Oreochromis niloticus: one gene and its partner. The protein of the gene in region 2 interacts with the protein of the main gene of each other region in a pairwise test. Links are inferred from orthologs where the notes say so. Each region holds a gene or a part of one and is shown on either strand. Other genes may lie near its edges.

What was found. The genes of interacting proteins can lie anywhere in the genome.
Region 1: the proteins of rab3ip (region 2) and rufy1 interact in binary tests that used the Homo sapiens proteins (3 or more experiments, as listed by UniProt). The two-hybrid records come from large-scale screens. The link is inferred for Oreochromis niloticus from reciprocal best matches to the Homo sapiens genes RAB3IP and RUFY1.

What each region holds. Positions count from the first base shown.
Region 1 is NC_031966.2:28,809,809-28,816,885, reverse strand, and holds the start of rufy1 (RUN and FYVE domain-containing protein 1), read left to right. Parts: upstream 1-4,020; 5' UTR 4,021-4,057; coding exon 4,058-4,391; intron 4,392-4,639; coding exon 4,640-4,819; intron 4,820-4,907; coding exon 4,908-5,025; intron 5,026-5,126; coding exon 5,127-5,228; intron 5,229-5,306; coding exon 5,307-5,430; intron 5,431-5,519; coding exon 5,520-5,581; intron 5,582-5,740; coding exon 5,741-5,876; intron 5,877-5,982; coding exon 5,983-6,084; intron 6,085-6,176; coding exon 6,177-6,293; intron 6,294-6,397; coding exon 6,398-6,565; intron 6,566-6,662; coding exon 6,663-6,760; intron 6,761-6,846; coding exon 6,847-6,966; intron 6,967-7,077. UniProt on the Homo sapiens protein: Activating adapter involved in cargo sorting from early/recycling endosomes. Regulates retrieval of proteins from endosomes to the trans-Golgi network through interaction with the dynein-dynactin complex.
Region 2 is NC_031981.2:19,555,576-19,562,556, forward strand, and holds the start of rab3ip (rab-3A-interacting protein), read right to left. Parts: upstream 3,090-6,981; 5' UTR 2,938-3,089; exon of another isoform or gene 2,839-2,937; intron 2,387-2,838; exon of another isoform or gene 2,261-2,386; intron 2,157-2,260; exon of another isoform or gene 1,919-2,156; intron 1-1,918. UniProt on the Homo sapiens protein: Guanine nucleotide exchange factor (GEF) which may activate RAB8A and RAB8B. Promotes the exchange of GDP to GTP, converting inactive GDP-bound Rab proteins into their active GTP-bound form.

The DNA.
Region 1 (7,077 bases), on a different chromosome or scaffold from region 2:
CTCCCGAGTGAAATATATGAAAGCTAAAAGAAAGTGTGCGTGTGTTGGGGGGGGGGGCATAAAAAAAATCAAGATTAAGATGATTTTATCCAAAATCATCTTAATCTTTTTTATCCAAAATCATCTTAATCTTGTGCGGATTTTTTTTCAAAGATAGAAAATAAAATGTAAAAACTGTCGGGAAATCAAAAGAAATAGGAAACTGAAACTTTAAAAAAAAAAAACTAAATTCTTGGTTCCTTTTGTACATATTGACTCATGCTTTCTGTCTGAGTGCCGTCAGGGTTTGGTTGTGTTTAATCCAGGTAAATCCGACGGTTCAAGCACTCACAGATTTAAAGTATGCGTGTCACAGAATCAGAAGTCCAAATATTAAGTAAGATACATTAACAGTCCATACTTACATTTAAGCAAGATAATTCAACAGCGACGCTGAGGAACAGGAGGACAGGAAACGTAGTAGATGACAAAATATACAACTGCAGTAAAAACTGTTGATGATGTGCTTCATTTGCCTCTAAGTATTAAAAGCGCCTTTAACGGGTACGAAATGTGAGCGCCACCACGTGGTCAAGAATTACACAACGCTGTTTTTACTTATTGGCTTCAGTTTAGGTAGTTTCCAGAGTTACAGTTAATTTCACTTGTTTCAGTTTATTTGAAAAATGTTTAATTTTGATTTACTTTTTTTTTACTTTTTGATATACTTTTTTACAGTTAGTCATGTTTTCAAAAATTCACAACAGACATTTCAATACAAACACCACTTCTCGAAGGGCAGCTGGTTCACAATACTGTAGACCTCCCAAATCTAAAGAAAGAAAGATTACAAAGCATCATCAGGCCACTGTGATGCCAAAGGTGACTAAAACTTAAGGCCTTTCCTGTGTGTTTTTATTTTCACTTAGTTTTGTGATAACACAAGTACTTTTCAGTTATCTCCCTGCCTTCCCTCTTTTTTTTTTTTTTTTTTAATTTCAGGTAACTACACAGACTTGGGTAATTTGAGGAGCAAGGTGGTGAGGTGGTTAAAACTGTCAACTCACAATGTGAAGGTTCTTGGTTCCCTGGGCTTCCTGTCTGTGTTACTTCTCTCCATGTACTCCAGCTTCTTCCGCAGTCCACAAATGTCCATTGTAGGGTTAACTGATGATTCTAAATCGACCATGGATGTAAGTGTATAGCTTAAAGTGCTGCATAAATGTATAGTTCAAATTGCTTTGAATGGTCAGTAAGTCTAGAAAAGTGTTGTATAAATGCAAGTGCATTACATTACACAGAGGAGTAATGGTAGATTTAAGTGCAAAAGGAAGGACTGCAAGCTCCTAATACGTTTATTCACTGCCAGTAGATCTTATTACTACTGGTGTCATGCAGTTCTGAGGTAACAATTATTCACTAGAAAATTATCTTTTGATAGCAATGTAAAATTCTCCCTTCAGCTCTCAAGTGCAAAAACATACCATCAATAAGTTAATATCACAAGTGCTTCAATTGGATTAAAGTATAGTCTGACTTTATGGATGGCTGTGTTAACATTCTTAGAATTAATAATTAAAGTTGGAGTCAATTTAAAGCAACACAAAATGCATCAAATAAAATTATAATAGATACACAGTACATCAGCATCACAGCTTTTGGTGTTATTACTACTGCAGGTTTTCTAGAGATTTAAGGCTTTACTACTAAGTGCATATTCTTACGATTCCCGTCATAGTAAAGCTTCTTTGGCTAAAGCTTAACTACACTGTAGTGTGTTTTGAGGTCACATGTAGGGTGGGCTGCTCACCACGTATGGAGTAATGAATTTGTCTGCCCTTTGTATTCTTAGGCATCAACCAACTCTGATGTGACTGTAGACACCGAATCTGGTGCGCCAGAATGTCATACTAAAGAGATTCTTTTAAATACACGGGGTGGAGCGAGTCAGAAACCAAGGGCACAGTGATGATGTAGGTCTGATCAGAAACGGTTTATTTCCAGGCCAGGGAGCAAGAATGAGAAATAATTCTAAAAACATAATAAAATGTTGTCAATACGCTAAAATTCCCACCGAGCCTAGATAAAACAATTCTAAAACTGGTAAAAATGCAATTTTCTGTATGCTCTAAAAATCCCACCCAGTCCCACAACCCAGGACGAATGTTCGTTATGGGTTCACAGGCCAGAAATTCCTCTTGCGGAGCTGCGTGCATGCCAGAGGAGCCTCCGATCCCCTTCTCGTCCCTTCATTGGGCCCATCACTTCCCAGCCCAGCTCGCATTCTGCACTGGAGTCCGTTGCTCGATGCCATCGCGCCTCTCCTCGCGTCATCGCCCTGTAAACAAATAGGGGCCAGAACCATCGTCCTGGAAGCTGCCCTGGCTTATAGCCATGGCGACCCTCTCCCAACACGGCTGCACCTGGTGAACAACAGTGGAGACACTACTCACAAATGCAGGCAGAGGCATACCTGTGCCCTGCTGTCAATCACAGGCGTTGTCTCCTACTGTCGCCGTTCCTGCTGTCGCTACCGGTCCGTCTCCAGATGAGGCGTCGCACCCCCACGATCAGGCAGCGGGTCCCTTTTGTTTTTTGTTTTTTAGATGAAACCTGGCCTTCATGCTTTCCTTTTCATATCTGGAGCCTCTCTCCTCCCAATCCCCAGCCAGCTTCCTTTTAAAAGGTCCCTTAAACAGCTGATAGGCCACCTCTGGACACACCCATGTCTCAGGTGATCACTATCAGCTAATTTGTCCCATGCCCAGCCAGTCCACAGTGGATTAAAACAATGTCAAATAAACCACTTAAAACCATGCAATACAAACAGAATAAAATCATGCAAATAAAAACTACACTCACAAATAAAGACTAAAAAACAGAATAAAACCAATGTAATAGATAAATACAAATTTCCACTGTGTGACATGACCATTCAATCTCAAGTAACATGACTTATTCTTCTTCTCCATCTTCTTCTTTCATCTGCCACCTAAGGGGTCACCACACCAAATGATCTGCCCTCATCTCACTCCATTGTTACCATCCTCCTCTGTCAACCCTCTGCATCTCCTCCTTCACTACATCCACGAACCTCCTCTAAGGTCTTCCTCTTTTCTCTTTTATTCTTTCCTACCTGGCAGCTGCATTTAGCATCCTTTGTCCCGTATCTCCACCATCCCTCCTCCAAACCGTCTCAGCCTGCCTCTCTAACTTTGTCTTCAAACCACTCAACTTGAGGTGTCTCTCTAAAGTAATTATTTGTCCATACTGGTCACTCCGAATGAAAATCTTTATCTTTAGTTCTGGCTCCTGTCTTTTTGTCAGCACCACCATGTCTAAACATGAATCACAGCAGGTCTACCTTCTTGTAAACCTTTCCTTTCACTTTATGCTTCTCTTACAATCGCCTCCACCAGCTTCACCCTGCCTGCGCTCTCTTCTTCACCTCTCCTGTGCACTGTCTGTTAAGTTGGATGGTTGAATCCAGGTGCTTAAACTTATCCACCTTCACTCTGCTCCTTCCAGCTTCATCGTTCCATCTGTCTCCTTCTCATTCATTCATTCAAGTATTACATACTTATGTTATGTTACTTTTTAATTTTAGTATTATCTTACTTGTTTTTTCATTTGTTCTCAGTTTGATTTGTCTCTACATTCATGTTTTTAAAAAATGTTTATTTAGGATGTATTGCCTTTTTCATTTATTTTAAATTGATAATCATTATATGTTATTTGTTTTTTGTTGTTTGTTTTTTTACATTTTGCTGTGTCTTTTAAGTGGTTCAAAGTCCTGTGAACCACACTAACCTAACACACTAACCTGAAAGGCACAACTAAAATTTCATTGACTGTAAATAAATAAAAATAAATAAAAACGCGATCTTCAGTTATTAGATATTTGTCAGTCCGCCACTCTCCAGCCAAATCCAACAGGTGGCAGTGATTTAACTCCAGTGTGCTTTGCTAGCAGCCAATGAATCAAAAGTAAAAGAATGTCAGGCCTCACAAGCGTCCGTTATTGGTCTAAGGCGATCACGTGATTTGTACACGAAAGGAGGGCGGGGGGAGGGCAAACATGGCTGACGAGGCAGGGGAAGTAAACACAGCTGTTACAGAGCGCGACGAAAAACAAGAACAAGATGAGCCCAAAGTTTTAGGACCAGCGACTAATGGCGAACCGGATGGTGGCAGCGAGCAGGACTGGACCGAGAGGCCGGCTCCCCAGGTCGCAGAGGAGAACAGCTGGTCGGCTCCTCTCCTGTCTCTGGCTCGTAAGGCCACGGAGACGATTAGCAGCGGGATCAGCTACGCTGCTGTCCAGAGAAAGCCCTCACAGGGATCCGCGGCGAGCTCCCCGACCGAGAATGAGGCCGAAAGTGACCTCAGTAACTCAGCGAAAAAGCTTCCAGGTAGACTTTGATTTTTCTGATGCCTGCTAGTTAATGCACTTGGAGATCGAAACATTGCAGCTGTCACAGGCACTTAAACACTTGACTAAGTGTCAGCTGTCACATCACATGACTCCAAGATCAGACTCTTGGTTTTTTTTGGTTAGTGAAGTGCTCCTTGGCTGGTAATGTGTTTGGGGTTTTTCCGGCTATGTCATCTGACAGAATTAACCTCAGAGCTTCTGCTTTTTTTCATGCTTTCTGTACAGTTGTTCCCCCCAAAGACTCAATGGCAATAGAAAGATCCAACCTGCTCAGCATGCTGAAGCTCAGCATCAGAGTGTTGATTCAGTCTTCTATGAGTCTGGGCAGGACGCTTGACTCAGAGTACCCTCCTCTGCAGCAGTTTTTTGTTGTCCTGGAGCACTGCCTCAAACATGGCCTTAAAGGTTAGACGTAAATAAATCTGACTGTTGCTGTTGTGCTATATTTATCTGCCTGCATGCTGAATTTAATTCTGCATGCTGTCTGATTCAGCCAAGAAATCCTTCATTGGTCACAACAAGTCTATATGGGGACCACTGGAGCTGGTAGAAAAGTTGTGCCCGGAGTCTGTCAACATTGCCACCAGTGCCAGAGACATGCCCGGCATTAAGTATGCCATTAAAAAACATATTTCTATAATAAAACTATAGAGATCACAGCTGTGTTTAATTGCACTTATACTGTCATTCTTGTTTGTTTGTTTTTTCCTAGGACCGGTTTGGGGAGAGGAAGGGCTTGGCTGCATTTGGCGCTTATGCAGAAGAAAGTAGCTGACTATATGAAGGCCCTGCTGGACCACAAAGACCTCCTGAGGTCAGTTACGCTTGTTTTATAGTGCATTATAAACATGGGTTTCTTCCCAGCATCCACTTTACTTTTTAAATCCCTTAGTGAGTTTTATGACTCTGGAGCACTGATGTTGGAGGAGGAAGGGTCGGTAATGGTGGGGCTGCTGGTGGGCCTCAACGTAATTGATGCTAACCTTTGCATTAAAGGGGAGGACCTTGATTCACAGGTTAGTGATGCTGTTTTGTAAGAATCAGTTTCACTCTGAGGAACAGTTGCATCGAGATACAGAGTGATCTGCTCTTCTTTCCCATTTAGGTAGCAGTCATCGACTTCTCACTTTATCTGAAAGACCCTGCCAGCAATGAGACTCCAAAAGAGTAAGCATCTACACTGCTTTACATTATTATTTTAATCAGGACTGTTCTATATTGTTATTACTGTTTAAAGAATGACCCCGTATTAACAAATCCTTGCAAATTTTTGTATAGATATGTCTCACAACTATAAGATGGTGATTGTATCGCTTCCTCCCTTAGTGATTCGAAGATGACAGCCATATTGGATCAGAAGCACTACATCGAGGAGCTAAATCGTCACCTAAGCGGCACCGTCACTGACCTTCAGGCTAAGATGGACTCTCTAGAGAAGACTAACAGCAAGCTCGTAGAGGAGGTTAGGCGTGCTTTGTGTGTGCAGCTGTGGGACTCTGTTTGCGCTGGATTGATCCTCTTTAACGTCAGCTGGTATCTGTGTGTCTTGTTTTTCTCCTTTTCCTCAGCTGACAGCCGCCACAGACAGAATCAACTCTCTACGGGAAGAACAGGAACAGCTGAAAAAGGAGAACGAGACGATCTTGCAGTCCAGCCAGAGAAAGGAGGAGGTGTGGGGAAAAAAAGTATCTGGGACTAATTGCAGCTGAAGCCCCTCCTGATTTTAAGAAGGAATGAAAAATGCCATGTTTTTATTTTTCAGGCAGTGCTTCAGGACAGCCAGGCAGAGCTGGAGACATACAAACAGACTAGACAAGGCCTGGATGAGATGTACAATGTGGTGTGGAAGCAGTACAAGGAGGAAAAGCGCATTCGCCAGGTCAAGTATCAGTGACCTCCAGGACAGTTTGAACCAACACTCCACACCTGGTGTTTTGGGGTTTTGACTCAACTCTAACTGAATTTGACTCCCTTGTGTATTAGGAGCTGGAGCGTGAACTGGAGCTGCAGGTGGGAATGAAGCAGGAGATAGAGGTGGCCATGAAACTGCTGGAGAAAGACACGCATGAGAAACAGGACACGCTGGCAGCCCTACGGCTCCAGCTTGACCAAGTCAAGACTCTCAATGTGCAGATGTTCCACAAAGCTCAGGTACAAATAGATGAGCATGATTATGACTTTGTCTTTCGCACTTACACACACACATACACACAGATTGCGCATTTGTCCAATTCATGTGGTTTCTCAGGACTCGGACCGCCAAGCAGAAAAAAAGCAGGCAGAGGCCGTGCAGCTTGAGCAGAGGATGAATGAAATGGAGAACACCATGAAGGAACTTGAGCAGAGGTATGCGTGCTTGCCCAGGGTGAGATTCAGTTTCGCGTTTACATTCCTTTAAATTGACGCTCCTCTTCATATTTTGTGACTCATAGACTACAGAGGTCGGAGCAGGAGCGCAAGCAGAACGACCAGTCAGACGAAGACATGAAGGCGGAGCTGCAAGGAAAAGTCGATGCTCTGCAGAAACAGCTAACAGATCTCGATACGCTAAGGTGAAGAATCGCAATTGTGGGCATGGAGAGGGGGGGTATTGAATGTGGTATTAAGCAGTACATAGAGAAAAGGTTCATAAAAGGGCAAAGTTGCAAATGTGATTCACCTAA
Region 2 (6,981 bases):
AGAGAGACTTAAGTACAAATAAAGCTGCTGTCACTCCCTCGTTGTATTTTAAGAGCATGCTGAGTGACTGCTTTGTTTCTCCGTCAGTATCATCATGTCATCTCTTCTTCTGCGCCCGTCATTAGGCCTGATTAGGGGTTTTGTTCCCGCCGCAGTGAGGCATGCTGGGAAATGATCCTCAGCTGTGATGCCGTGTCTCGGACTCCGTTAACGTTGAGTCGTGTCATTGTTTGGTCCGAGTTTCACTGATGCTGGAATGCAGCTGACAGCAGGCATTAACGTTGCATTCAAGGCCAATCAGACATCAGACTACAAAAAACTGCTGATGATACCTGATATAAATGAATCTCCTGTTTCCTCTTGTGTGGTTTGTTGAGGAGGTTTGTGGTTTCAAACACGGGGCACAGAAATCAGGAAGTAATGTCAGATTAGGATATATCTGTCAGAGGTTAAAGAGCCAAATTCCACCAACCAATCACAACTTCCAACCAACAAAGAGAGTTGAAACAATCAAATACTGCAAAAGATGGTGATTTTAGATAATTTAAGGTATTTTGGTTTAATTATTCATCCCATAAAATATTAATATAAAAGAAAGAAAGACAGCTCACATGTCTGACACTGTGCCGCAAGAAAAACACATCAGCACAAACTCATCCAGGATGTATGACACATGGTGATGGACATGAACACACACAGGTGAAACTCCACCTTCATTAAAAACAACCTGACTCCTCTTCCCTGCCTGCCTGTCGCCATAGAGACCAGTCCTAGAGAGCTTGGCGTGGTAACCCGACACGTCGTGCAAAGACCGGGTTACTCGGGCCGCCCGATGAAGGCTCATCCTGTGTCTCAGTGGCGGTGTTTACGCGAATCCCAAACAGCTCGACTGACCACAACAATGAAAAGCTCACCATCAACAGTTTGCGGTGACAAATGGGTCAAAATAAAGGTGCCGGGGCTCCGTGGCACTGACCTGCATTTATCATTTAACAGAAAGAAGAACAGGTGAACGCCGTCCTTTAATACATCTCCAAAAAAATAAGAGCGTCTCGCACAGACAGCCATTGAAGGAATACCTGCTTCACCAAACATACGACGACCAGGCCTGACAGAGCCTGTTTGATCCAGAAGCCTATGAAACTTCTGTGTGCTTACAGATGTGTACAGGTAATGGTTGTTCCCATAATCAGATGTATCAACTGAATTATCAGGATTTAAAGACTGAGCAGAACAAGCCAGACGTTAAAATCCTTTTGGGTCTGTTCAATAATAGGATTAAGCCTGTAGATTTCTTATACTTACTCCTCGATATGTAAAGTGCAAAGGGAGGTCAGTTTGCATTCATTTATTGGTAATTATTCACACATTTTTCTACATTTTTTTAAAAATTACTTGGCAATTTAAAAAATAAATCATTTCCAGCTTTTCTTCAAGAATTTGCCTTTTTTTCTAAAACTGGAAATGTGATATTTTTATTTTCAAAAATGGAATTTTTTTGTGAATTTGCAGGGTTTTGCTTATAAATTTAATTAAGCTGCAAATTTGGATTTTTTTAATCATTTAAGTTTTTCTGTGTGAATTTGGTAGTTTTTCTAAATAGATTTTTCTTTTAATTGCAGATATACTTAAGGTTTTTTTGGCCAGTTTATCTCGTACATTTTCCTATTTTGCCCACAAACTTGACATTTGTTTTCTTGTACATTTAAAAATTTTCACTTGAAAACTTGCCGGTTAATTCTCATAAAATGTGTAAATGTACAATTTGTATTTGAAATTTTGCCAGGTTTTCCTGATAAATTTTCTCATTTCTTGCCATAAATGTGCCAGGTGTTGTCGTCTATATTTGTACTGTTTTTTTTCTCATAAATCTGCCAGGTTTTAATTTTTTTTGAGCCCTGGGGTTTCCTCTTCTTACCTTCAGTGGTCCTGACACACTGTAGTACTTCAGAGAAACCAGCTCAGCACAAAAACTGCAGCATGTGCACAAATATCACCTGAGTTTACACCTGCAACAGCGTCTCTGCTCATTTACCCGACCTCCAGCTCTCCCTGCACCCAGATGGGCTGCTTACAGTGTCACCTGTACGCTGGAGGTCATTCCTCCAGGTGAGCTACTCCTGCTCTCAGGTGGTGTCTTGTGGACAGCTAGCAATAGATTAGCCGCGGATAGCACGTTAAGTGACGTTACCTATTATGCTAATGCATTAATACGTGAGCACCTGCGGGGGGCTGAAGTTAGAGAGCTAAGGGCTGTCACCTGACGCTGTCTGAAAGATGCATGATAGCGGCGTCTCTGCGCGGAGCTTCGGGTTTCGCTGCTACATCGGGCTAAGGATTAGCTGAGCAGCTAACGTTAGCTGGCCAATTACTTGACATTAGTAGGGTGAGTGTGGGCACAGGTGTGTTAAAACACGGAAATGAAGCACATGACAAGAAGAGAACTATTTAAAAAAAAAAACACAAACAAAAAAACAAAACAAAACCCAAACACATCCGTCCTTCTCATTCAGTAAACATCAGGGAATGGCTTGCAGAGGGAACCCCTGCTTCCATTATCGGCCACTGCTCTAAGCCTGGCCACGGCTAGCTAATTTCATTGATTACATCAAACAGATGAATGCACGGATTTATGAAACTGCGGATTCGCTTTAAAACACAGAAAACTGAGAGAGTGACGGAGTGATGCTGAGAGAGAGGAGAAACGCTGTCCGATAATGGGCGCATCGATGCTTTTTGTATGTAGCACGCAAGCTAGTGGGGCTGAGCAAGTTCGCCCAACTCAGCGACTCACGGATTAAAATAAAAACTGTAACGAGGCCTTAAAGGTGGACTCACCGGACCTCCGCGTGCACAGCAGCCCAGTCGGTCAGTCTTCCTAACGGTAACGTGCCGAAACAGCCCGAAAAACAGACAAACAAACGGAGAGACACTCACCGGAGCGGCTGTTGACGCAGAGCGGAGCTCCAACTGACGGGAGGTACGTTCACGGTCCGCTGGGAAACCACAGAGCCGCCAAGCAGTTCGTCACAGTGCAGAGAGCAGGAATTCATTACTCGGCATTAGGCCCATTAACAAATAAAATTACATTACATTTAATTTAATTGTAAAGAAAAAAAAGAGAGCGCGTGAAAGAAGAAACAAATAAAGACTAAGAAAAAACAATTCAAATTAATATGAAGCTCAAAAAGTCTGGACTTATGAACTAAAAGTTGTAAAATAAAATAATTATAATAATAATTAAATAAATAAAATATTGTGCTTGGACAGAGAGATAATGTTCGGAGAGAATAAAAATTAAGATTTATACAACTAAAGGTACAATATATGAAATATATCATAAAATAAAAATATCGCTCAGTGAGGGGAATAACTATTATGATAGTTAAATTGTTGTTAAATGTTAAATTTACGATGTTAAAGTTGTGAAAACACAAAATTAATAATTAAATAAAATAAACACACACAGTAATTATTTTTTTAAGTGATTCAAATATATAGTAGGGACGAGATAATATTCAGTGACAAAATCCAAGTTTATTAAGTTTAAGTTGTAATAAACAAAATTGAAAGTTTACTTCTACCACTACTACTACTACTACTACTACTACTACGACTAATAATAATAATAATAATAATAATAATAATAATAATAATAATTTGTAGCTCGGAATGGGAATAGTATTCCCTGATGGTCCCTGAGTATGAGGGAAAAAATGAACAAACAGGTGGTATATTCCTTGAGATTAAGGTCTCCAGTGGTTTTAATCTTTAAATGTTCACTTCATTCCAGTCAGAGAGGCTGTGTGTGAGGATGAAGATAAACAGTGAAGAAGAATTAAAAGCCACCAGGGGGCAAACAAGCCCCGTTTTTCCAAGTTTAAAGACGCGCTATGTTTTGTTGTGCGTGCGCTCTTTGAACACACGAAGACGCGAACCCGCACCATCAGAGTGCTTCCTCGGGTCTCTGGAGCTGTTCTCTACTAGATCCTGTTTCTTCGGGGCTGCACATGTTCGCCCTCCTCTCAAACATACTGGTCCAGATTTGTGGAAAATGGTGGCACAAAGTCTGGTTTTTACCACTAGAACTCTTTCTGACCAATGAAGGACGTTTCTTTTAAAATGCTTCATAGCTTCTATCCAACTAACCACTACCATCAGAGACTTGAAGGTGATATCAATTTAAATTATACTTTTTGTGGAACCAATAGGAAACAGTGGTTCATGAATTCAAGTTCTCCAGTTACTTTTTTATATAAAGCAAAATATTTACTCAATAATGGACAACAAGAATAAAAAAAGCCTCACCTTTTTAAACATTTTAATATACTTGTATAACTGAGTGTATTTGAACGATTTTAACGCTCTGTCATTCTGCGTTGATGTCAGCCAGTCTTAATAAAGTTGGGGGGAAAAAATCAGGGTGCTCAAAACCCGAGTAATCTGTAAGTTACAGTTACTCAGTGAGCAGCACAGCGAGTCCCGTCACTGACGTCATATTACGTTTTATGACTGTGGAGCTAAATTTAAGTATTTTACACACAATTTGGAGTCTTTATTGTAAAACAGAGACACACATATGTCACTCTGTAACTGTGTAATATGGAGATATGATATAGATATATAAAGATTATAAAGATGCAGATTCGGGGAGCTGGCTGATCTATATTTGATTTAAACTGTTTCTATTGTTCTTCTATTGTTGATTTTTTTTTTATGCAGTCCCAAAAGAATGATAGGAATGTGATGAGTTCAATTACATGTCAAAACAAAACAAAACAAATCTCACATGTCCTACTGCTTCTGAACCCATCCCTATGATACTCTGAGGTGTGTGTGTGTGTGTGTGTGTGTGTGTGTGTGTAATATATTTCCACTGTGTCACACACACCTGAATAAACCACACACACACCCTTCTGGGGGTGGAGTTTCCCCGTGTTTTTAAGTGATGCGTAACGAGCCGGGTGGTGTCATTACGCACACGGAGCTCGGACTATCGTTTCCAGCCAGATTAGAGGCTGATGTTGCTGCCTTCTCTGTGAAGGAGGAAAATCATCTGTCCAGCTTCTGGTTTGAACTTCAGGATGATTCGTGCGAGGATTTTATGGGTAAGTTTTACTTTCTTGCATTCTGCCGCATTTTGTTTTGTTTTTGTTTAGAGTTTTTTTCTGTTTTTGCTTGTTTGTTTGGTTTTTTTTGTCCAGGTGTAAAATGGAAAAGGAAGTTTTCTAAGGCAGATTTATTTTTCAGTGATGGTCTGATAGATGTTTAAAGTTAAAATGCAGTACACTGAAAACACTTCAGAACATATGGACAGACTTTCCTATAAGAATGAGAGACACATGTAAAGACTGATTTGTCTGTTTGTGACCATCTCGTGAAAACCGAAATGATCCACTGTTAATAATCATTTCCATGAGCAGGAATGTGTGCATAAAAGTATGTATTATTCGTTATCGTTTAAAGGAAAAGTTAAGTTCATGAGTAATTAAAAATGTGCTGTATTTCAAATGTTGAAAGCAAAGATCATTTACAGCATTTCAGTGAAAAAAACCATTAAAAATAGAGTCGTTTACATCAGTTTATCAATAATCATGAAGGGATATAAATAAACCAAAGAAAATCTAAAGATGCTTAAAAAATAATGGACTCGGGAGAAATATTAATATTGATAACAGAGGAATGAGTGCGTGTAACTGCCTGGGCTTGGTTTCATTCATAACTGTGTAGTAACACTCCTCTGTGTGTTTCATCATTGACTCAGCATTTATTACCTACAGGTCCTGAGCCAGAGCAAACCAGCTGCTCCCTAATTGTGACCGTGAAATTATTCTAGATTAGCAGGAATTAGAAGGATACATATTTTATCTAATTTAAAAAAGAAAAAAAGTAGAAATCTTTATAAAATAATAACAATAATAGCTTAACAGTGGTGGAAAGAGAACAGTCTGGGTTCAAGTAGTCAAGACTTAAACAGAAGTATCATTGTGGTGTTCAGTTTTTAATTTTTTTTATGGAAGGTTTTTGGCATTTAACCCAACAATGATGCTCAGAATGAGCCTGTGCCTCAAGATTGAGCATTTTTCAATCTGAGTTATGTTGATTTGAGGGTTTTCTTTACACAACTTGGAGATAAGTTGGTTCATAATTGATCTCCACACCTGCAGAGCCAGTTTAGCTGTGTGACAGCTAACAAAGTGTTGTGCTCATTGTACTAAACCTAACGCCCTGCTGAACTGTGACTGAGGACCCACGTGAATCCAGGCTGGTTTCAGACCCAGGCTCATTCACTGTGACCGCCTCGTCTATACTTAGGTTTTTCTTGGCTCTCCAGTCACTTCCTCATTTCTGTCTTTTCAAACTCATCAAGCAGCATTTCTCTTTGTTCTTGTCATGAGCGCAACATCAGGCAGGAATGTGTTGGCCAAGGAGCTCGTTGGTTTCGGCTCTGCAATCCTGTTCTGCAGTCGCCTGCTCTCGGTTAACTGGTCCATCAGGTGCTGTGGACTAAATTTACCCTTGTGCTCCGTTACATTCCTGAGGCAAACTCTGCACACTGTACATTTATCCGACAGGTTTTTAACGCTGTTAAAGATTAATCCAGCTCTTTATGACCTTTATGACCAACAAAACTGCTGCTTTCTGCAACTGCTGCCAACTATTGAAAAAAAAATCTCCTGTAAACTGAAGGTTTTGCAATTAAATTTACAAGCGCAAACATAATCTGTTCACCTTAATATACTTTTACTTAAAGAAAAATATATTTGTGCATATAGTTGGGGTTTTTTTTTGCAGTAATAAAATCTTACATTTTATTGCTTTTTTATTGGGCCAAATGTGAATCTACTACAAACTTGATGTAGAAATCTTGAATAATAAAGCATGTAATAACAAAAACAGGTGGCTGAAAGATATTTTTTATTGATTATAAAGCAGCAGCAGCACCTATGAAGTTGCTAGTAATTTTAAAACCTCCAGACT